Callithrix jacchus: one gene and its partners. The protein of the gene in region 1 purifies or fractionates together with the protein of each later gene. This does not show direct contact. Links are inferred from orthologs where the notes say so. Each region holds a gene or a part of one and is shown on either strand. Other genes may lie near its edges. The genes, in order: PRPF4, CD2BP2, DDX23, SNU13, TUT1 and GPHN.

Region 1 (3,500 bases):
TAAATAACCAACAGAAAGGAGGTTGTACAATAGAGACGTCATGTTTGCTTTCTAAACGTTTGTTTGAATCCTGACACAATGGGTTTGCTTTAAGTTAACATGAAGATTGCCAAACTTCAAAGTAAAGTAAAAGATATTTTCTGACAAAGCAGATGTTCAGTTCAGTTTCCTGATGCAGTCAGCATTCCAAGCAAACACAACAGGAAGAGGTCAGTCTTTTTCGCAGCATAACCATCGGGGGAGCTGCAGTCTACTGCTTCACCTCCTATTCTCAAGGAAAGGAAAAGTGCTCGCTGTTACGCACTCTTTAACCAAGGAGTGGTGAGAGGTGCCTCTTTACCCGAGGGCTGCCAGACTCTATCTAGTTCAGCCACCTCGCTCTCTGGGTCACATGCAGTCCTGAAGCATGTACCATGTTATGGAAAACCAAGTTTCAAGAATTAAAAATGCAGAGTCAGTCACAATCCTGAGTGCTGTGAGGAAGGCTATAAGGCATTCAAACAAAGTATATATATATTTTTTAAGAGACAGGGTCTCTCTGTCACACAGGCTACAGTGCATTGGTGTGATCTCACCTCACTGCAACCTCCGTCTTCCAGGCTTAAGTGATCCTCCCACCTCAGTCTCCTGAGTAGCTGGGACCATAGGCACAAGCCACCACGCCCGGCTAATTTTTTAGTAGAGATGGCGTTTTGCTATGTTGCCCAGGCTAGTCTTGAACTCCTGACCTCAAGTAGTCTGCTTGCCTTGGCCTCCCAAAGTACTAGGATTACAGGTTTGAGCCACCACTCCCGGCCAAACAAAAGATAAATGAAAACAATGTCTACACAGTTTGTGGCAGGGTGTAAAAAGGAGAAATAAATTTTCAACCATGAGAGGGGTTCACCATCACCTAGGGACTGGGCTGCCTGCCTGGAGTGGGGGCTGACATGGAAATCCAATTCTACTGAGGGTCTACACATGGTAATTGGCAGAAAACATGGTATAACTAAACACTTGAATTCTTCTCTTTTGAGGAAATAGCTCCTTAGAGACAGCTTGAGGTTCAAGTCCTTTTTCCATTGTCTTGTCTATTCAGCCATCCAGAGCTTGAAGGTCCTGTCATATGAGCAAGTGGCTATGAGCTGCCCATCGGAAGAAATATCTAGGCCCATCACTTTGCCTTCGTGGCCAGCCAGAGTCTTCAGCGGGGACCAGCCTGGGTGCGTCCAGATCTTGGCTGTGTTGTCATAGGCACCAGTAAGCAAGAAGTTCCCATGGATAGCTACAGAAGAAAAGGGGAATTGCTTGAGGACTTTATTCAAAAGAGCAGAAGATAACAAAATCACAAATGTCTGCAAAAACATGCAATTTAAAAAAAACGTATTTCTACATTCAGAAAAAAATCAACACTGATGCTATCTTCCTACGAGGCCTCCGGGTAAAGGGGATAACCCCAGGTGGACTTAAGGGACCAAATAACACTAAGGTCTTTTGGCGCATTCCCTGACAGAGAATCTGTTCAGAATAATATTAAGGACTCAGTGCTCAGAACATCCATAGAGGAAAGAATGAAGCAAAGCACTCACAGCATGCTTCTCCACAGATCTAAGGCATGGCAGGGGGAAGGAAATTAGAATTTGTTCCTTTAACTGTGGTCATATGCTCTCCTGTTCTACTTCTCAGTTAAGCTAAAGCCTGGCCTGCATTCCAGAGAAACACATCCTGTTTGCCTGTGTCATTTAGATCTAAACCAGGAGGAAGGCTTACGCTCAAACTTGACACCAGTCACTAAGTTCTGATGAGCAGGGATGGTGTAGACGCAACGCCGCTGTCGAAGGTCCCACACTTTGCAGGTGTTGTCACCGCTGCCGGTTGCGATGTGATAGCTGTGGATTGGATGCAGTATTGAAGTTAGAAGTACAGTGCTTTCTGACCAAGAACCCTTTTTCACCCCTCATTCACTGTGTTTATTTTACCCATTGGGGGAGAAATTTATTCCATAGATTTCTTTCAGGTGGCCTTCTAAGAACATGATGCAACGTCCCGTGCGTAGGTCCCAAACTCGACCAAATGCATCCAGTCCCCTGATAAAATAATTTACAAATGAACACTGTGAATCCAGTTCTCTGTGGAAGGAGACATACACAAGAGGTGAGAGTACTGAACTGCCCCTGGCTATATGGGAGAAGCCTTACCCAGTGCCAGCCAAAGAGCCATCTTGATGGAAGGCAATGTCATACACACCCATGCTGTGGCCCTCCTGATGCAGGATCTCCTCTTGAGCCTCCAAATCCCATAAGCGCCATGAACGGTCATAGCTAAAATGAAATCACACTAACAATCAACCAGCTGGTATTTATTCAGTTTCTACAACACATAAGTCATCATAGCTTAAGTTATTAATGCTTCTGAACTACTCATAGAAACATATAACAGGAAGCTCCTTTCTGACATAAATAATAACTCAACAACTAAGCTTATCTGTCTTAGGTGCTAACTGAGAACCGTGGAATAGCTGTAAACCTCTAATGCCTAATTTTTTTTGAGACAGAGTCTCACTCCGTCGCCCAGGCTGGAGTGCAGTGATGCAATCTCGGCTCACTGCAACCTCCATCTCCTGGGTTTAAGCCATTCTCCTGCCTCAGCCTCCTGAGTAGCTGGGACTACAGGCGTGCACCATCATGCCCGGCTAATTTTTGTGTTTTTTTTTTTGTAGAAATAGAGTTTCACCATGTTGGCCAGGCTGGTCTCGAACTCCTGAGCTCAGGTGATCTGCCCACCTTGGCCTTCCAAAGTGCTGGGATTACAGGTATGAGCCATCATGTACAACCTAGTGGCTATTTTAATAACAGGATTCCCCAAGAATGGCCCAGAAAAGACTCTGTTGCCTTCTTTCTTCCTCCACTGTTACGTTCTTTCATTCCTCAAGCATTTATACATTTACTGGGCCCTAAATTGGATGTTGGGGATATACAAATCGCTCATAACCCACACATGTATGGTCAGATGATTTTCAGTAAGGGTATTAAAACAATTCCAACAGACAAAGGAAAGTCTCTTCAATACACATTGGCAGAATTGACTATGGACATGGAGATAAAGACAAAAGAGACAAACTCAATTAAAAAAACCAGGCAAAGTACTCAACAGCAACAGTGATCAGGGTCTTAAGAATGAAAACCATGGGGTTTCACTACACACCTGCTAGATGGGGAGAAGCAGTAAGACTGACGACACCAAATGTTAACAGGGACGTGAAATAACCAGAATTCTGGGAATGTAAAATGGTGTAACTGTTTTGGAAAACTGGAGGGGAGTTTAGAAAAAGTTAAATATACACCTAAGGCCTCTACCCTGTGACCCAGCAATTGTTCTCATGTCCGCAAAAAGCCCGGTACAAGAATATTTATAGCAGCTGCATTCTGACTGGCCCAAACCTGGAAACAGCCCAAGTGTCCATCAACAGGAGAATGGATAAACTATGGTACAGTCACGCAAATAATAACCCCCAGCAATTA
Region 2 (3,958 bases), on another chromosome or scaffold:
GCTGTGGAGAAGACCTCTGGCTTCCGGCCATCAGCACAGCGAAGGCCCTAATACACAACTAAAGGCTTTTATTGGAAAAGGGAAATTGACTGAAAAATGGCCTCCAATTTCCTCACTGCCTGAGACACTTGGGGGTCTCCTCCACAAAGTCCAGGAAAGAAGGGCCCACCAAACTGGGCCCCCAGCAGGCTCAGGTATAGAGGTCAAAGTCAATGCGTTTGGAGTTGTAGAACTGACCACCAGGGGGGTCCAACTTCCGGCAATAAACACCGTCCGGGAAGTAGCCTTCGCTCACCCAGGTCTGCAAGGAGAGGGCAGAGCTGGGGAAGGACTGACAGGAGTTGGGGAAGCAGGGACAAGGCAGAAGGAGGAAGAAAGCGGCTCACCTGCATCTGGGCGCTGGTGAAGGGTCCATACAGCTCGGCATCCCCTGTGTTCTCCCACTTATATTCCCACATCACATCCACCAGACCATCTCCCGGCGACTCTGCTTCTAAAATAACAGGCAAAGCCATTTGGCCTCCAGTGTCTGCCTCCTGCCCAGTGCCTCCTCCTGTGTCCTCCAAGCTCACCTCCTTTCTGGGTAGGGGTTGGGGTCTCCAGTTCCCCCTCCGCCACTTCCTCAGCAAACATGTCCAGGGAGGGTGGGGGTGTGGGATTGTGGGGTCCCAGGGTCTGGCACCCCAAACCCTTCAGCCTCATGGCCAACCGTTCCCGAGTTTCCTGGTACACGCCAAGGTTGCCCCGGGCCACCATCTGGTCGGCCAACCCAGAGAGCCGGTCCAGGCGCTGTGGGGAATTGGGTCGTCCGGGCCCCTTGCTGCTCCCTTTGCCTCCTCCTCGGGCCCCCAGACGCCTCAGTGCCCCAGCCACTGTTTCTCTAGGCAACAGGAGCTCCAAAAGTCCCTCCAAGAGAGCTTGGGCACTCATTGGGGTCTGGCCCAAGCCATCCTCCTCCTCCGAGTCTGAGGTCTGGCGCTGGCCAGGTGGCCGCTCCCGGATCTTCACCTGTAATGGGAAGAAGGGGAGTGATTTCCCACAAACTGCCACGGGAGCAGGCAGCAGCTCTGCCACTCCCTGGCCCCAGCCATGCCAGCCCCTTGGCCACACCCAGTCAATGTTGTCCAGCCAGCTGTCTCGGATCTGAGCATCCCGGTTCAGGAAGTAGTTGCCATCGGCATCGAAATGGCCTTCCTCCATCTCCTCCTGCAGGTTAAAAGGTGTGATCCGCACACCCCCCTCGCTGGGGAGTGTGGCTGCCTCCTGACCTGCACCAAAGACAGGGGTGTCCTTTGCTGGGGATGAAAAAAAAGAGACCGGGGCCTCCCTCACCTCACACCACCAGAGGTCTCTACTTTTTCCTTCAGTAGAGTGTATTCTTGAGTACAGCTCACCTTCTACATCCTCTGAGGACAAGATGTCATATTTGCTGGACCCCCCATCGTCATCATCCTCCTCATCGCTGTCCAAAGAGTGTTTGCCTTTGAAGCGGCTCCCAGGACCCCCTGACCCAGCCACAGGGTCCACCAGCTGTGAGCAGGAGCCAGGAAGTCAAGAAATGCAGGTTACTGGCTACCTCCCCAAATACTGCCAGATCTGGACCCAAATACTCCCCAAATATTTCAGGATCTCAACTGCTTCCCTAGATATTTCTTTTTTTTTTTTTCTTTGAGACAGAGTTCACTCTTGTTGCCCAAGCTGGAGTGCAATGGCTGATCTCAGCTCACTGCAACCTCCGGCTCCTGTGTTCAAGGGATTCCCCCACATCAGCCTCCCAACTAATTGGGACAGGTGCCCACCACCACCCGGCTAATTTTTAGTACTTTTAGTAGAAATGGGGTTTCACCAGGTTAGCCAGGCTGGTCTTCAACTCCCGACCTCAGGTGATCTGCCTGCCTTGGCCTTCCAAAGTGCTGGGATTACAAGCGTGGGCCACCGTGCCCAGCCCTACTTCCCCAAATATTTCAGGACCCACACTGAAGATGCTCCCAATCCATTCCTCAGTGAACCTGGAAAAACTAGGCTTTTCTCTGCCAGCCCGCCTTGCCCCTCCCAACTTTCTTCCTCCTCAGGCTTCTAGCTCCTCTCTTTCCCCCCACACAAAGAAGTTTGGTCCCCTCACCTTCTTCTTGGGGACACTGATATCATCCTCGTCCTCTTCATCTCCCACGCCTTGGAAGGTCACTTTCCTCTTTGGCATGACAGGGCAGAGAAGGTGTTCCTCAAGCTGAGGAAAGTATGCAGAGGAAGAGAACGGGGTGAGGAGGGGACTCGCCGCCAGAGGATTCCCGGCACAGCAAACATTTTTCTTGGTGACAAGTACAGTTTGAGAGGGAAGGGAGCACAAAAGCAGGGGCGGAAAGGGAGCTGGAAGCCAGAAGGCCTCTGGTACTCGGTCTGGCATCCTCGAATTAAATGGGGCGGGGACGGAGGGGCAATCCCTCTGGATCCCCCGACCCCGGCCAAAAGGAGACAGGCTCCACCATGTGACCACCTCCAAACCCAGCCCCCGCAGTCTGGGTACCACCAGGCTCGACGGGCTGACCCCCGCCTCCTACCCAGGCTCTCTCGGAGCTCGCGGGGCCCGGGCGGACCCAGGACCTGGCGCCCTCGCCGCCCCGTTCCTCCCTGCTCCGAACTCCCAATTCCGTGTGGTGAGCTCCACCTGTCCCGGGCTGCGTACAAAGTAGAGGGCCACGGGGATTCGGATGGTCCCACGCTCGCGCGCTCACCTGGGGATCCGCTGGAGGTGAGGCGGCAAAGAAGAGATGCTTGCGCCAGGGCTACATCCGGGGCACCCGGCCGCCATCACCCGGAAGAGGACTGAGGAATGCGCCGGGGAGGCCGGAAGTGGCTTCACTCCGGCCAGAGGACCAACTGGAAGAGCGGGCGGAAGTACGCGATGAGCGAGGGAAGACACCTCCACCCTTTCTTACGCCAGAAGTGACGTCAGTCGCGTGGGAGGAAAGTGGCGAAAAGAGGAGACTTAAGAATTCCTAGACTCTAACCCGGCGTGAGAAATGGCCGGAAGTAGCTTTGATTCTCTCATTGAGCCGTAGAGGCTCTGGAGAAAAAGTGGAGCGCATCTACTTAAAGGGTCGCTCAGTGTCAGGATTTAGGAGCAAAGTCTGAGCAGAGCCACTGGATTGCTTTCTTGTCTTCCTGTCCTGGGTTCGAGTAACCCTTCCCCCAGGGAAGGGTTCTGCGCCCCTACCGTGTCGCTAGAAATCCTGCCTTCGGCCGGGCGCCGTGGCTCACGCCTGTAATCCCAGCACTTTGGGAGGCCGAGGCGGGTGGATCACGAGGTCAAGAGATCGAGACCATCCTGGTCAACATGGTGAAACCCCGTCTCTACTAAAAATACACAAAAAATTAGCTGGGCATGGTGGTGCGCGGCTGTAGTCCCAGCTACTCGGGAGGCTGAGGCGGGAGAATTGCTTGAACCCAGGAGGCGGAGGTTGCGGTGAGCCAAGATCGCGCCACTGCACTCCAGCCTGGGTAACAAGAGCGAAACTCCGTCTCAAAAGAAAAAAGAAAAGAAAAGAAACCTCGTCTCTCCTAAACTACAAAAAAATTAGCCGGGCGTGGCGGCATACGCCTCTAGTCCCAGCTACTCGGGAGGCTGAGGCAGGAGAATTGCAAGCACCCGGGAGGCGGAGGTTGCATGCGGTGAGCCGAGATTGCGCCACTGCACTCCAGCCTGGGCAACCTCAAAAAAAAAAAAAAAAGGAATCCTGCTTTCGGGCTGGGCACGGTGGCACACGCCTGTGATCCTAGCGCTTTGAGAGGCCGAGGCGGGTGGATTGCCTGAGCTCAGGAGTTCAAGACCAGCCTGGGGAATACGGTGAAACCCGTCTCTACTAAAAATACAAAAATTTAGCCGGACATGGCGGCATGAGCCTGTAATCCCAGCTACTCGGGAGGCTAAGACAGGAGAATTGCTTGAACCCGGAAGGCG
Region 3 (4,088 bases), on another chromosome or scaffold:
TGTTTATAAATGTAAAATTTTATTGTTTAGAATAGACAGGAAGTCTTGCTATATTATCCTGGCTGCTCTTGAGTTGAACTCCTGGGCTCAAGTGATCCTTCCTCCTCAGCCTCACAAGGTGCTGGAACTACAGGCATGAGCCACCAGGCCTGGCCATACAAATATGGTTTTCTTTCTCTCTCTATTTTTTTTTTTTTTTTTAGTGGGGGACTGAGTTTCACTCTTGTGCCCAGGCTGGAGTGCAATGGCTCTATCTCGGCTCACTGCAGCCTCTGCCTCCCGGGTTCAAGTGATTCTCCTGTCTCAGCCTCCTGAGTAGCTGGGATTATAGGCACAAGCTGTCATACCTGGCTAATTTTTTGTATTTTTGTAGAGATGGGGTTTCACTGTCTTGCCCAGGCTGGTCTTGAACTCCTGAGCTCAGGCAGTCCACCTGCCTCAGCCTCCCAAAGTGCTGGGATTACAGGCATGAGCCCCATGCCCGGCCACAGATGTTTTTAACTGTACTGTAGTTATGCAGTGGCTCACACCTGTAATACCAGCACTTTGGGAGGCAGAGGCAGAAGGATTGTTTGAGCCCTGGAGTTCAAGACTAGCCTGGGCAACAAATTGAGACTGTGTCTCTAATAAAAATTTAAAGAATTAGTTGGGGCTGGATGCAGTGGCTCATGTCTGTAATCCCAGCACTTTGGGAGGTTTAGGTGGGCGATTACCTGAGGTCAGGAGTTTGAGACCAGACTGGCCAACATGGTGAAACCACACCTCTACTAAAAATACAAAAATTAGCCAGACATGTTGGCACGTGCCTGTAATACCAGCTACTCGGGAGGCTGAGGAAGGAGAATCGCTTGAATCTGGGAGGTGGAGGTTGCGGTGAGCTGAGATCATGCTGTTTCACTCCAGCCTCCGTGACAGAGCAAGACTCTGTCTCAAAAAAAAAAAAAAATTAAGAGCCGGGTGAGGTAGTTTACACCTATAATCCCAGCAGTTTGGGAGGCCAAGGTGGGCGGATCATGAGGTCAAGAGATCGAGACCATCCTGGCCAACATGGTGAAACCCCGTCTCTACTAAAAATACAAAAATTAGCCGGGCATGGTGGCGCGCGCCTGTAGTCCCAGCTACTTGGGAGGCTGAGGCAGGAGAATTGCTTGAATCCAGGAGGCAGAGGTTGCAGTGAGCCAAGATCATGCGAGTGTACTCCAGCCTGGCACTTGGCAACTGAGTGAGACTCTGTCTCAAAAAAAAAAAAAAAAAAAAAAATTAGCCAGGCATGGCGGCACACTTCTGTAGTCCCAGCTACTTAGGACACCAAGGGAGGAGAATTGTTTGAACCCAGCAGGTGGAGATTGCAGTGAGCCAAGATCATACCACTGCATTCCAGCCTGGGCAGCAGAGTGAGACTCCATCTCAAAAAAAAAAAAAAAAAATAGTTGAGTGTGATAGCATATGCCTACAGTCCTGGCTACTTGGGAGGCTGAGGCAGGAGGATCGCTTGAGCCTGGGAAGTCAAGGCTGCAGTGTGCCATGATTGTGCCACTGCCCTCCAGCCTGGATGAGAGAGAGAGACCCTGTCTCAGCGACAACAACAACAACAAAACAGAACTGGTAAACATGGTAAGCTAGTTCCTGCTCCAGTTTCTTAGTACTCATATCTGTTCTATCTAATAAGGGTTTTATAGCCTGATCTTTTCATGGCTCTTTTTCCCATCATTCAAACTCAGCTTAAGAATCAATGAAAACTTCTTCCCTGAGCCACCTATCTCTTGTTCATATCCCTACCCATCGTATCACTGTGGTTTTTTGTTAGTTTGTTTTGAGACAGGATCTGGCTCTGTCACCCAGGCTAGAGAACAGTGGGGCAATCTTGGCTCACTGTAACCTCTGCCTCCTGGGTTCAAGTGATTCCCCTGCCTCAGCCTCCTAAGTACCTGGGATTACAGGCGCATGCCACCACGCCTGGCCAATTTTGTAGTTTTAGTAGAGATGGGGTTTCACCATGTTGGTCAGGCTGGTCCTGAACTCCTTTAGCCTCCCAAAGTGTTGGGATTACAGATGTCAGCCACGGCACTCAGTGCCTTTGTTTTCTTTACTGTTTTGTCTCCATTACCTATAATGATTTCTGGCACCTTTTAGGTGCTTGGTGAATATTTGTTGAAAGAATGAATGATATCCAGAATGCTGTACAGAGAAAGTAGCCTTCCTTTGGGATTGTTTTCTTAGGGCTATAACTGTTCTTTTTTTTTTTTTCTTTCTTTCTACTTTTTTTTGAGAGAGGGTTTTGCCTCATTGCCCAAGCTGGGGTGCAGTTGGCACAATCTTAGCTCACTGCAACTTCCACCTCCCAGGCCCTAGCAGTCTTTCTACCTCAGCCTCCTGAGTAGTGTGCGCCACCATGCCTGGCTAATTTTTTATATTTTTAGTAAAGATGGGTTTTTGGCATATTGCCCAGGTTGGTCTTCAACTCCTGGACAAGCGATCTGCCCACCTCAGCCTCCCAAAGTGCTGAGATTATAGGCATGAGACACCATACCTGGTCAAGACATAGGTATTTCTATGTGATGTACATGATGTACTGATACAGAACAGTCAGTCATTTCTCAGATGTTTGTGAGATAAAATGGGTCATCCTCATCTTTTAAAAGTGCTTCTTGTGAGGCCAGGTACGATGGCTCATGCCTGTAATCCCTGCAGTTTGGGAGGCCTACGTGGGTGGATCATGAGATCAGGAGTGCAAGACCAACCTGGCCAAGATGGTGAAACTACGTCTCTACTAAAAGTACAAAAATTAGCCGAGTATAGTGTCAGGTGCCTATAATCCCAACTACTTGGAGGTTAAGGCAGGAGAATTGCTTGAACCCAGAGGCTGAGATCGCACCATTGCACTCCAGCCTGGTGACAGAGCAAGACTCCATCTCAAAATAAAAAGGGGGGTGGGGGAAGTGCTTCTTGTTCTTTTTTTTTTTTTTTTGAGATGGAGTCTTGCTCTATTGCTAGGCTGGAGTGCAGTGGCACGATCTCTGGTCTCTGCCCTCCAGCTCCCAGGTTCAAGCGATTCTCCTGCCTCAGTCTCCCAAGTAGCTAGGACCACAGGGGCGTGCCACCACCCCTGGACAATTTTTTTTTTTTTTTTAATTTTTTATTGCATTTTAGGTTTTGGGGTACATGAGCAGAACATGCAAGACAGTTGCGTAGGTACACACATGGCAGTGTGTTTTGCTTCCTTTCTTCCCTTCACCCACATTTGGCATTTCTCCCCAGGTTATCCCTCCCCACCTCCCCTCCCACTGGTCCTCCCCTTTTCCCCCCAATAGACCCCAGTGTTTAGTACTCCCCTCCCTGTGTCCATGTGTTCTCATTCTTCATCACCTGCCTATGAGTGAAAATATGCGGTGTTTCATTTTCTGTTCTTGTGTCAGTTTGCTGAGGATGATGTTCTCCAGATTCATCCAGTCCCCACAAATGACACAAACTCATCATTCCTGATTGCTGCATAATATTCCATGGTGTATATGTGCCACATTTTTCCAATCCAGTCTATTATCAATGGGCATTTGGGTTGATTCCAGGTCTTTGCTATTGTAAACAGTGCTGCAATGAACATTCATGTACATGTGTCCTTATAGTAGAACAATTTATAGTCCTTTGGATATATACCCAGTAATGGGATTGCTGGGTCAAATGGAATTTCTATTTCTAAGGCCTTGAGGAATTGCCACACTGTCTTCCACAATGGTTGAACTAATTTACACTCCCACCAACTGTGTAAAAGTGTTCCTTTTTCTCCACATCCTCTCCAGCATCTGTTGTCTCCAGATTTTTTAATGGTTGCCATTCTAACTGGCGTGAGATGGTATTTCAATGTGGTTTTGATTTGCATCTCTCTGATGACCAGTGACGATAGAGCGCCGAATCCTAACCACTAGACCACCAGGGACAATTTTTGTATTTTTAGTAGAGACAGGGCATCATCATGTTGACCAGGATGATCTCGATCTCTTGACCTTGTGATCCTCCTGCCATGGCCTCCTAAAGTATTGGGATTACAGCCATGAGCCACCACGCCCGGCCTCTTGTTCATTTTTCTTTTC
Region 4 (3,902 bases), about 28 Mb from region 1:
ACCTCAGGTAGATGAGGACTCATGGACACAGAGCAAGCTTATTTCCTCTTGCCGCACTTTGCATGGTGCTAGGCACGCAGGTGCTGAGGACAGACAGGTCCTTGAATGGAGATGCTCAGGCTCAAGACTTCAATTCAGAATGTGCTTACTAGGAGTTCAGGGAGAAAGAGGCAACAATTTTTTATACCTCTGCCTCAGTGTCAAGTATTCTTTCTTCCCTTATTTATTGGCTGCCTACTGTGTGCCAGGCACATGTGTATATGCTGATGATGCATTGGTGAACAAAACGAAGTCTCTGCCTTCTTGGAGTGTACATTTCAGTGGAGAAAGACATAGGTTTTATGTCTGGTGGTAAAGAATGCTGTAAAAGAGAATAAAATAGAGAAGGGGGATACAAATGGCAGTGGTAAGGTCTTTCTAAGTAAAGTATTCAGAGAAGGTTTGTCTGAGGAGTTGAAGTTTGAGCAGAGAACAAATAGGGGTATTGGGAAGAAACATTTTTGGGCGTGGTGCAAAGGCGTGCTTGAGAGATTCTAAGGAGGCTGGCGTGTGGCTGGAATGAAGTGAGGGGTGAGAGGTGCTAGGAGATCGCATGAGACCTAGTAGGCCATTGTTAGCAGTTTACATTTTTCTGTGAGTACAATGGGAAATGAGTAGAAAGATTTTGAACATGCTTTGCAGTTTCCATGTGTCAGCCATTTTTATTTATTATTATTATTTTTTTGAGACAGTCTCACTCTGTAGCCCAGGCTGGAGTGCGGTGGCATCATCAGGGCTCGCTGCAGCCATGACCTCCTGGGCTTAGGTGATCCTCCCACCTCAGCCTCCCAGGTAGCTGGAACTACAGGTACACACCACCACACCTGGCTGACTTTTTATATTTTAGTGGAGATGGGGTTTTGCCATGTTGCCCAGGATGGTCTCAAACTTCTGGGTTCAAACAGTCTGCCTGCCTCGGCTTCACAAACTGCTGGGATTATAGGTACAAGCCACTGTGCCCAGCCTCATCATTCTTATTAACTTTTTTTTTTTTTTAAGATGGGGTGTCACCATGATGGCCAGGCTGGTCTTGAACTCCTGACCTCAGGTGATCCCACCTCGGCCTCCCACAGCACCCGGCCCCATTCTTATTAACTTGTTTAATCCTTTAAAGAATCCTATTAGGTAGAATTATTGTACTGTGTTACTTTATAGATGATAAATGTAAGGGAAGTTAAATACCTTGCTAAAAGTCGTTTGTGAAACGACAATGAGTGCTCTCATTTGCACTCAGGCAGTGTAGCTCTAGAGTGTGTGCCCTTGTCGAGTACTCCGGCATGAATGCAGCGTATTCGGACTGAGCCACAGAGGCAAGCCATCAGGATAGTAGGCATCTGAAATGGTGCTGTGGGTTGTTGAACTTGCATGGTGAGTCACGTGTTGGGTGAGCTTCCTAGAAGTATTGATTATGGCAGATTGAGATAGTAAAACTCTGACTCTTGGTCACACATACCTTGAGAAATACTGTATTATTAATATACTAATTCTTGCTGGTGGGGTTTGTGAAAGCTGTTGCAGCTGACAAGGTAAGAGATGATGGTGACTTGGACAAGTGTAGCAGAGGAGTAGAAAGAAGTGGTCAGATTAGGCCGGGCACAGTGGCCTAAGCTTGTAAGCTCAGCACTTTGGGAGGTCGAGGTGGGTGTATCACTTGAGGTCAGGAATTCTGGACAACATGGTGAAACCTTGTCTCTACTAAAAATACAAAAATTAGCCAGGCACAGTGGCACTTGCCTGTAATTCCAACTACTTGAGAGGCTGAGGCAGGAGAATCACTTAAACCCAGGAGGTGGAGGTTGAAATGAGCTGAGATTGCGCCTCTGCACTCCAACTGGAAAAGAGCAAGACTCCGTCTCAAAAAAATAAAAGGAAGAAGTGATGAGATTCAGGACGTGTTTTGAAGATAAGTGGTGGGTTTAATGCAGGGTTTCAGCAGAGGCCATTGTGTTGAATCTTTTGTCATATCCCAGGGCCGCTCTCATAATTATATGTGCCTAGGCATTTTGCCCAGTTTTCTTGTACCTGTAATTTTTTCTGGAAATTGCTTTGTTGTGGCTGCCCTGCCCAAGCCCACATCACCTATTAGTTTCACACCCTTCTCTCCACAGCCACCAAAACCCTCAACAGGGGCATCTCTGAGTTCATTGTGATGGCTGCAGATGCTGAGCCACTGGAGATCATTCTGCACCTCCCGCTGCTGTGCGAAGACAAGAACGTGCCCTATGTGTTTGTGCGCTCCAAGCAGGCCCTGGGGAGAGCCTGTGGGGTCTCCAGGCCTGTCATCGCCTGTTCCGTCACCATCAAAGAAGGCTCACAGCTGAAACAGCAGATTCAATCCATTCAGCAGTCCATTGAAAGGCTCTTGGTCTAAACCTGTGGCCTCTGCCACGTGCTCCCTGCCAAATTCTCCCCCGAGGTTGTGTATCATATTGTTTGTGTTAGCATGTAGTAGTTTCAGCTATTCTCTATTGTTATAAAATGTTGTAGTACTAAATCTGGTTTCTGGATTTGTGTGGTGTTTTTGTTCTGTTTTATAGGGTTGTTTTCCCCCTTCCTTTCCTCCCTCTCTCTGCCATCCTTCATCCTTTTATCCTCCCTTTTGAAAAACGAACAAATGTTCAGAACAGGCTGAAGCAGGACGGTGGCACCATTCAAAGGCACAAAGAGTCAGGAGAAAGCTGATGGAACTAGGATAGAGACCTAGTTCCTGGCTTTTAGCCACTAGCTTCCTATTGTGTGCAGAGTATGGTGGAATTAAATACCATTCATTGTGTATCCCTTGTGCCTGGCACACGGAATCATTCATACCTGTTAAAGTGATCAAGAAGTTTTCTTTGTTCTTGGGGCATTATGTATCATTTGGGGAGGAAGCATGTGTTCTGTGAGGTAGTTAGGCTATGTCCAAGTATCATTTACTAATGTACCCCTGCTGTTTGCTTTTGATAATGTGATTGATGTTGATGTTCTCCCCCAACCCCCAACCATGCCCTTGAGGGTGGCAGGGCAGCAGCATACCAAAGAGATGTGCTGCAGGATTCCAGAGGTGACCTGGGTGAGTGAGCCATGAGGCAGTCGACCTAGGTCTCGAAAGTGTCAGGAGTGGCAAGGGCAGAGAACATGAACTGGATTCCTGGAAGACCATGAAGACCTGGCTGGTAGCTGCAGCAGAGACGATGGAATCTAAGGAAACAACCTTCCTCTGGTGAATGGGACTTTCTTTGGTGGACAGTTGGCACCAGCTCTGAGAGCCCTTCCCCTGTGTTGTGCCACAGTGTGGGTCAGATGTACTCTTTATCACACTAGTGCTGGTTCATGTGTTCTTCTGTGAGCATCCTAATAAAAAAATAAATTCCATTTTCATGAGAGAATGGCAATGCCTGATTCTTAGTAGGTATCCAGCTCATACTGGAATGAAGACATAGCATTACTAGACTGGTGATAGGTGCTTTTCTTCTTCCAGAAAGAGTTTCGCTCTTGTTGCCTAGGCTGGAGTGCAATGGCATGATCTCTCGGCTCACTGTGGCCTCTGCCTCCTGGGTTCAAACGACTCTCCTATCTCAGCCTGCCAAGTAGCTGGGATTATAGGCATGCACCATGACGCCTGGCTGATTTTTTGTATTTTTAGTAAAGATGGGACCATGTTGGACATGCTAGTCTTGAACTCCTGACCGCAGGTGATCCACCATCTCAGCCTCACAAAGTGTTGGGATTACAGGTGTAAGCCACCATACCTTACCAGCTGCTTAAGACATTTTTACCAGAAGGCTATGAAAGAGCTGTTTCCTCCTACCAGGTAGTTTCTGTCTTGGCAGTTCAAAACATCATCTTATACAGACTCAATTGGAGCATTGCTATCACTGGAG
Region 5 (4,007 bases), on another chromosome or scaffold:
GGTTCCACCATGTTGGTTGGCCAGGCTGGTCTCGAACTCCTGACCTCAGGTGATCCGCCCACCTTGTTTGGCCTCCCAAACTGCTGGGATTACAGGAGTGAGCCACCACACCCAGCCCTGATTCATTCTTTACCCCCGGAACCATTCACTTTACCTTGTCCTTATCCATGACAATACTGGCCACAGGTCCAAATGCTTGGAAGTACTCAGAGAGCTTGGCAGAATCCACATCCCTGGGAAAGCCACTGACAAATACACTTCGAAGTCCCTGGGCCTTTCTCGCAGCTCGTAGTTCTACCAGGTGCCGGTGCTTTCTGCCTCCCAAGTGGGCATCGAGGCTGGGTCCTGCAAAGACAAGTGTGAGACAAAAACTCCCAAAGCACTCTTTAGTGAGTCTACCCTTGCTCTCTGCATACCTAATCCTCTGATCCTTCCAAGCCACAGAAACTGACCTTTGAATAAGCAAAGTCCTGGCTCCTTTCACCTTCCTCTCTTATACTTTTGTCTAAATAATACATTCTCTATTTTTATTTTTGAGACAGAGTCTCACTCTGTCACCCAGGCTGAAGTTCAGTGGCAGAGTCTCAGTTCACTGCAACTTGCACCTACCAGGTTCAAGAAATTCTCCTGCCTCAGCCTCCTGAGTAGCTGGGACTACAGGCGTCTGCTACCATACCCGGCTAATTTTTGTATTTTTAGTAAAGATAGGGTTTCACTATGTTGGCCAGGCTGGTCTTGAACTCCTGACCTCAAGTGATCTGCCTGTCTCAGCCTCCCAAAGTGCTGGGATTACAGGCATGAGCCACCGCACCTGGCCTAAATAGTACATTTTCTAAGTGGTTCCCAAGAGAACTGGCTACACAAGTATTTTGTTTACTTTTATTTTTAATTTTTACTTAAAGACCAGTGCGACAGTATAGCTTAAACCACCTATTTGTGCTAGGTAGAGTTGGAAAGAAATTAACAGGTAACTTATCCAGGTCATCCACAGAAAAGCTAGATACTAGGATTCAGGCCAGGCACGGTGGCTCACACCTGTATTCCCAGCACTTTGGGAGGCCTAGGCGGGCAGATTACGAGGTCAAGAGATCAAGACCATCCTGGCCAACATGGTGAAACCCCATCTCTACTAAAAATACAAAAATCAGCTGGGCGTGGTGGCACGTGCCTGTAGTCCCAGCTACTCAGGAGGCTGAGGCAGAAGAATCGCTTGAACCCGGGAGGTGGAGGTTGCAGAGAGCCAAGATCGTGCCACTGCACTCCAGCCTGGTGACAGAGCAAGACTCCATCTCAAAACAACAACAACAACAAAAAGTATTAGGATCCTGGAATACTTCGTGGGTCATCTCTGGGTATGGTATGGTATAGTGATGTCAAGGGCAGGATCTGAAATCACACTGCCCAAGTTCAAGTCCCAACTCTGTGAAGCTGTATGAAATCTTGGTCAAGTTACAAAGCCTCTCTGTGCACCTACTTCCTCAGATATAAAATGGAAATAAAAGTACCTAGCACCAAACACACAGGTATTATTCATATATATCACTTGGAGAGTCTCGTACATGGTAAATGTCAAAAAACTAGCCATTGCTATTATTTTATTATGAGTTAGCTGCTTGATGTCAAAGTAAATGTGGGGCCAAGGAAGACGCCTAGGTTTCTGGCCTGGCCTATTGGATGAACAGTGATAGTGCCATTCACAGAGAAAAGGAAGAATGGAAGTAGACCCACAGGGAAGACTGTGATTCCAGACTTCAAAAGTGGGGCCAGCACTTTGGTTCACGCCTGTAATCCCAGTACTTTGAAGGCCAAGAGGGGAAGATCACTTGAGGCCAGGAGTTGGAAACCAGCCTAGATAACATGGCAAAACCCTGTATCTACAGAAAAACAAAAAATTAGACAGGTGTGGTGGTACGCGCCTGTCCACCCAGCTACTTGGGAGGCTAACCAGGAGAATGGCTTGAGCCTGGGAGGTTGAGGCTGCAGTGAACCAAGATCACAACACTGCACTGCAGCCTAGGTGACAGAGCAAGAGCCTGTTTCAGAAGGAAAAAAAAAAAAAGTGGAATTTGCGGTTTTGATAAACTCCTTCTCTGTCATACAAGAACCTTGTCTGTTTTTCGAAACCCATCTTCTGTCTCTTTCTCACTGGTACCTTATGGTCTAGTCATTCATGCCACCTATTTCATCCGTCCCCACCTTTGAGTAAGTCCTCTGTAGGGCTTCTCTGACTTAGTTACCGATTCTCTGTGGTCCCACAGTTCTCCAAACATAACTACAAAGCATTGAAACTTTCTCCATCTCTAGAGGGTGAGCCCCTCCATCTCTGAACCCCCTTCCCCCACCCTAAAGATCAGCAGAATACCAGCCACAGAGCATATGTCCTACAGATGACGGTTAAAGAAGGAATAAAACAATGAAACTTGCGTCGTGGAGATGTCATATACTGAGGAGGAGTGTAATGTGGTGGGACTTTCTCGACTCTCCAAATCCCCTCGAACTTGCGGAGTAAAAACGGAGGTGAGACCCTACCAACCGACTTGACAGGAACGAAGACCTATAACCCTAACTTTCGCCAGGATCAAAAGACTAAAGCCCGTAACCACCCAGGTCCCTCACTAGCCACCGCTTACGGTTGGCTGTAGTAACGTGGCACAGGCAGCAGCGGAAACCCCCACGCGGCAGCGATTCGACATCCGAATCCACCGCCGCCATAGCGACTCTCCTGTACCGACAAATACACAAGCACCTCTGCCACCACCAGAACCCACTTCTCCAAAGCTCAACGCGCTCGGAAGTAACTTCCGCCCGTCCGATAGGAAGTGACAAAAAGTCTTCCAATTGCGCGGACAAACTCCTCCGGAAACCAAGCTCCAGCTACTCCGGGTTCCGTTTCTAGCCGGTGTCAAGTCCCCGCCCATTTTGGGAAAAGCCGCGCCTTACGATGCTTATCTGCATGCAGTAAGCCGATTGGTGTGCTCTAAACTGTTCAGACGCCGATTGGCCCAAAGGGCGTAAATATTTATGACAGCAGCCACAAAGGCCGGCGCTGGGTGGTGTCTCGCGGCCCCTCCTTCTCCCAGCAGTAAACACTCGTGCTTCCTTACCTTCGACCCTTATTTGCCCGACGAATAAAGGCGGAGGAGGATCGGCGGCTTTCAGTCCTTTGCCCCACGGAGCCCAGGACTGTCCCTGGACTTCCAATCTTTTCAGGGCTGGTACTCCCTCCCTTTCCTCCCATTGTCCTCTCGCAAAACGGGTATTCTGCGACTGCTTCTAGCCCTAGTTAGGGAGCTCTGCCACTATCGGGCACCTTCCGGACTCCATGAGGTCCCGGGAGCCAGGACCATTCCTTCCGCAGTATTGGGCTGCGTGGTGTACTCCGGAGGTGCCAGAGCCACTGTCGCACCTCGGAGCAGTGCGACAGTGCGACAAGACAAAACCGAGTGCTGGTAACCTAGTAAAGACACTGGAGGGGAGAAATGCTGTTGAACCCCAGCAGGTATAATTGTCAGTTCCTCCGAACACCGCTGAGATGAAGGCTCGGGACAGTGAGGGGCTACCTACGGGAGCTGGGGATGCCCTAGGGACAGGGACCATAACAAGGTGCAGAGGACCATCATGTGGGCTCGGCAGCTTGTACTGTAGTTATCAGCCCACAGCTTTGAATGATGCAAAGAGAAATGGACTTAAGGCGACAGCGAGCAAGTCGCAAGTGCTGAGGCTGTTCCCCATCTCTAAAGGAAGTGCCCAAGGAGCACACAGTAGGCTGAACTTTTTGTTCTCTCCCCTAAGGTGTTCCTTCTAATGGGCCCAACTCAGGCATCTAATCTCAGTGTCCCAAACCTTTAAAGCAGGAAATGGTGTTACAGTGAATCAGGATATCAAGGCAGTTGCTAAGGCTGGCCTTGAGGCTCCTGAGGCAGTAAGCAGGCTGTAAACATACACCCAGAGGTGCTCAGGTGTTCAGTGGTAGAATTCTCACCTGCCAAGTAACACCACACAGCTAG
Region 6 (3,500 bases), on another chromosome or scaffold:
GTCTCAACTGATCCTCCTGAAGTGTTGGAATTACAAGTATAAGGCACCATGCCTGGGCCATGAGTGTGCTAATTCTGTTTTGCTTTCTCAAACTCCATGAACTTACTTGATGTACAAAGCATGTAAGTAAATCATAAAAGAGAATGGTTCAATGAGTTAGCCAGTTTAACAGAAATTTATTTCTGATGCTAAATATAATGTTATTTGGTCCTAAGGATATTAAAATCATCACTGTGTAGATCAAATTAAAAAGAATGTTTGTTTTCTGTCAACTGATAATTTTTAGAAATGACTAGTACATGTATCCTGGGAAGTAAGCACATCTGGAATGCTGATTTAGCTCTCCATTAGCAAAATAAAATAGTCCATTGTTTTGCTCCAACCAAAAGAACTATAAGGTCCTAAAATGACCTTTGAAAATTTTCATTTCCAAGACTTCAAGAAATTAAAAATAATGATGGGTTTATTTTCAGAACAAAGAGATTTTAAAATATACCATTAATTTTTCTTTAATAGTAAGGTCAGAGGAATTATTAATACTTTAAAAAATCTCAATAGTTTCTGATTCTTCTATAAGGTTTTGAGTTTCCAGCAGATTCACTTTTTAATATTCTCCATTTGACCTTAGAGTTTCTGACTGAAGTTTTGCACAACCTAAGCAAAACAGGCAATAGGAAGTTTTTCAAGAGTTCTCAGAAAGAGATGGACTAAATTCTCTTTTCTAAATCAGGAATGAAATGACATTTCAACCTATTCTGAATACCATGCCACTAGAGATGCTGTAGAGAGAGAGAGAGAGAGAGAAAAAAAAAAAAAACCTGATTATCAAGTCCCTCTTGGTGATTAAAGATTACATGGAACTTTTCACAAGAAGTGCTAGCCATGATGTCCTGATTCACTGATACTTACCACACAGAAGTGGCCTATCATTTCAACAGCAGGATGGGCACAATTCATTGTCTTAACAGACAAAGTACTGAGTTTGCATAGTTTAATATCTATAGCTAGCAGCTAAAATTCTTTGTTTATGTATACTGAATATGTGAAAAGGCCATTGGTTATAATATTTCATTCTAGTAAGTAGAAGAGGACATTTCATAATACATATTTTTTTTTACTGGTTCTTCCTTGTTCTCATATTCTGAACTTGAAACTATCCTAAGGCCAATTTATTGTTCCCTCTTATAAGAATGTGGACCCACTGGTATGATCTATAATATACAACATTCTATTTACAACACAAAACAGATGTCAGAAATACCTTTACCTTACAGGCCCTCACCCCACTTTTATTTTTAATACCTCATTCCCTGTTGACATGACTGCAACCACTGGAAACTTGTTAACTTCAACCTCTGTGACACCTACAGTTGCTAGAAGACCAATCTCTGAGGGGCCCATGTGGGTTCCTTTGGCCAAAACACATTCCCCTCTTTTAATGTCATGGCCGATGGGTCTGAAAGTCAAAGCAGAACCATAAACAGTGTGATTAAGAACATTTTCTCAACTAATGAGGGAAACTTTAGTGTCAAAAAAGGAGGACATTCAAGAGGAGAAAAAAGTCAAGAAATAAAGTAGTAGGAAAATAACGAAATGAAGGGATTCTAAAAATCCTATGCTTTTTTAATTTTAAAAGTTGAATCACACAACAGAAAACAGAAATAGGATTGGATTATATTACGGCTAAAGAAGAACCTGTTACTTCATATTTGAAATTTTGTTTTCTTGAGTACCTGTGAAGAAAATTACAAATTGTTTTGTGCTACATTATAGTAAAACTACCCATTGCAAACTTTCTTTGATAAGGCAAGAATCTGTATCAAAATATCTAGGAGCATTGATGATAAGAGGTCCACAGCTGGCTAGCTTTGTAGCAAGGAGAATGATGCCAATGAGGTTATGGTCATAGAGCTAATTTCCACGTAGGTCGGTCCTGATCTGTGGCCACAGAGGTACATTCACCTTGGTGTGCTGCCATAAGGATGGGAGAAGTGTAGTTTCATTACAAAGGGACGTTCAGCAAATTAGTATTAATGGAATCAAGGTAAACATATTCCATTGTAAGAAAAATAATTTAAGGTATACACACTATTTATTATAGGACAATAGCCTCCTCTTTGTATATAAAGAGGAGTAGATTATTCCCGTATTATTGGTGCTCAGTAGAGCATATGCTATAAGTTAATTGTGTAAATACCCAATTCTTGGATTATCTGAGTTAATACCAAATTCTGGATTACTTAGGGATGGGATTGGGTAATTCAGGATTATCTAGGAGTAGAATTAACTGTAGAATATGTAGGCTCGTGACTTTACCTCTTTCTCATCTTGCCTTTGACTAACTTGCTTTTACTGTCCTTCATTAAAAAGTAGGTAGGGCAGAGATGTGAAACAGAATTCATTTTTCTTCTTGTTAAAGCCCTGAAAATTAATGGCTAATTGACATGGGAACATATTTAGTACCCAGGGTTTCCTAAATAAATGATCATGTAGAAACAAAAGCCAGCCAAAAATAAAATAAAATAAAATAAAATAAATGACTGAAGAGAGATGGGTGTAAAAAAAAAAGAAAAAGAAACAAAAGTGGGCTATATATTGTATGTGTTTTGAAGTTACCTGATATCTTGGCCTGGCCGAGCTTGCACCAGAATTCGCACTTCAAGTTCTTCAGTGCCCTATAATAAGAGCAGATTATGTAATTTCAAACAGAATTTCTGAGCAGTAGAATTTAGCTACTCAGATACTTTTACCATCAGATAGGCCTAGGACATACACAAATATAGAGAAACCAAAAACTATTTGCTATACCTTTTGAAAACACTGAATTTCTAACCCAGGTTCCTGAAAAATTAGAAGGTTTAGTACCAATAAATAAATTTTTTTTGCTCTAATTTTTATGTTTTTAAAAAATGTACCAATTGTAAAGCAAGATTTAATATTTGAACTAGTACATTATATATATAATTTATATATTTATATATTATATATATATGTAGATGGATATAGATGGCTACCCTAATGAAGTGTGCATGGAGATAATATCTTTCTTCTCTTCCCATGAATCATGAGTTTAATACCATGCCAAGGTTACCGAATACCTGCAGAAATTTCAGTAAAGGACTTATAGTTTGCCTGGTAGTAGATTTCTGTACATTAATGGCAATAATCAGTTTTACATTTTTGGGCTATGAATAATACTGTGACATTGGAACTGTGTCTTGTCATCTGGTAGAGTCTACGGATGCATGTGTTCTGGATTTCAATGCTCTGCGGGCTTCCCTGATGCCAATAAATCTGCTTAGACAGTTTTAACAGCAGGCAATGTGGTCTCTTTCCCAACAGTTGAATTTTATGTCTTGTATGTGGAAAGGTGATTAAAAAGAAAAGCTTCAGATCAAGGAAAGCATCTGTCTCTTGGCATGGACAAATTTTACTATCTTCTCAGCTTGGGAGAATATATGTTTATTTTTAACCTTAGCTTTTAAAATATATCTTTAAAC

What was found.
Region 2: the proteins of PRPF4 (region 1) and CD2BP2 purify together in Homo sapiens (affinity purification with mass spectrometry; 3 studies listed by BioGRID and IntAct, with this or other methods). This does not show direct contact. The link is inferred for Callithrix jacchus from reciprocal best matches to the Homo sapiens genes PRPF4 and CD2BP2.
Region 3: the proteins of PRPF4 (region 1) and DDX23 purify together in Homo sapiens (affinity purification with mass spectrometry; 4 studies listed by BioGRID and IntAct, counting the BioPlex papers as one, with this or other methods). This does not show direct contact. The link is inferred for Callithrix jacchus from reciprocal best matches to the Homo sapiens genes PRPF4 and DDX23.
Region 4: the proteins of PRPF4 (region 1) and SNU13 purify together in Homo sapiens (affinity purification with mass spectrometry; 4 studies listed by BioGRID and IntAct, counting the BioPlex papers as one, with this or other methods). This does not show direct contact. The link is inferred for Callithrix jacchus from reciprocal best matches to the Homo sapiens genes PRPF4 and SNU13.
Region 5: the proteins of PRPF4 (region 1) and TUT1 purify together in Homo sapiens (co-immunoprecipitation; 3 studies listed by BioGRID and IntAct, counting the BioPlex papers as one, with this or other methods). This does not show direct contact. The link is inferred for Callithrix jacchus from reciprocal best matches to the Homo sapiens genes PRPF4 and TUT1.
Region 6: the proteins of PRPF4 (region 1) and GPHN purify together in Homo sapiens (affinity purification with mass spectrometry; 3 studies listed by BioGRID and IntAct, counting the BioPlex papers as one, with this or other methods). This does not show direct contact. The link is inferred for Callithrix jacchus from reciprocal best matches to the Homo sapiens genes PRPF4 and GPHN.

What each region holds. Positions count from the first base shown.
Region 1 is NC_133502.1:161,602,742-161,606,241, reverse strand, and holds part of PRPF4 (U4/U6 small nuclear ribonucleoprotein Prp4), read right to left. Parts: intron 2,301-3,500; coding exon 2,178-2,300; intron 2,067-2,177; coding exon 1,959-2,066; intron 1,869-1,958; coding exon 1,750-1,868; intron 1,265-1,749; coding exon 1,071-1,264; 3' UTR 1-1,070. UniProt on the Homo sapiens protein: Plays a role in pre-mRNA splicing as component of the U4/U6-U5 tri-snRNP complex that is involved in spliceosome assembly, and as component of the precatalytic spliceosome (spliceosome B complex).
Region 2 is NC_133513.1:29,873,078-29,877,035, forward strand, and holds the start of CD2BP2 (CD2 antigen cytoplasmic tail-binding protein 2), read right to left. Parts: upstream 2,801-3,958; 5' UTR 2,666-2,800; exon of another isoform or gene 2,559-2,665; intron 2,228-2,558; 5' UTR 2,201-2,227; coding exon 2,123-2,200; intron 1,531-2,122; coding exon 1,395-1,530; intron 1,269-1,394; coding exon 1,111-1,268; intron 1,009-1,110; coding exon 573-1,008; intron 494-572; coding exon 387-493; intron 302-386; coding exon 191-301; 3' UTR 1-190. UniProt on the Homo sapiens protein: Involved in pre-mRNA splicing as component of the U5 snRNP complex that is involved in spliceosome assembly.
Region 3 is NC_133510.1:70,720,723-70,724,810, forward strand, and holds the start of DDX23 (putative ATP-dependent RNA helicase DDX23), read left to right. Parts: upstream 1-1,288; 5' UTR 1,289-1,446; coding exon 1,447-1,614; intron 1,615-4,088. UniProt on the Homo sapiens protein: Involved in pre-mRNA splicing and its phosphorylated form (by SRPK2) is required for spliceosomal B complex formation.
Region 4 is NC_133502.1:190,083,628-190,087,529, forward strand, and holds the end of SNU13 (NHP2-like protein 1), read left to right. Parts: intron 1-2,147; coding exon 2,148-2,410; 3' UTR 2,411-3,402; downstream 3,403-3,902.
Region 5 is NC_133511.1:119,859,982-119,863,988, forward strand, and holds the start of TUT1 (speckle targeted PIP5K1A-regulated poly(A) polymerase), read right to left. Parts: upstream 2,801-4,007; 5' UTR 2,713-2,800; coding exon 2,631-2,712; exon of another isoform or gene 2,441-2,630; coding exon of another isoform or gene 2,425-2,440; intron 346-2,424; coding exon 155-345; intron 1-154. UniProt on the Homo sapiens protein: Poly(A) polymerase that creates the 3'-poly(A) tail of specific pre-mRNAs. Localizes to nuclear speckles together with PIP5K1A and mediates polyadenylation of a select set of mRNAs, such as HMOX1.
Region 6 is NC_133509.1:102,065,735-102,069,234, reverse strand, and holds part of GPHN (gephyrin), read right to left. Parts: intron 2,676-3,500; coding exon 2,617-2,675; intron 1,457-2,616; coding exon 1,303-1,456; intron 1-1,302. UniProt on the Homo sapiens protein: Microtubule-associated protein involved in membrane protein-cytoskeleton interactions. It is thought to anchor the inhibitory glycine receptor (GLYR) to subsynaptic microtubules.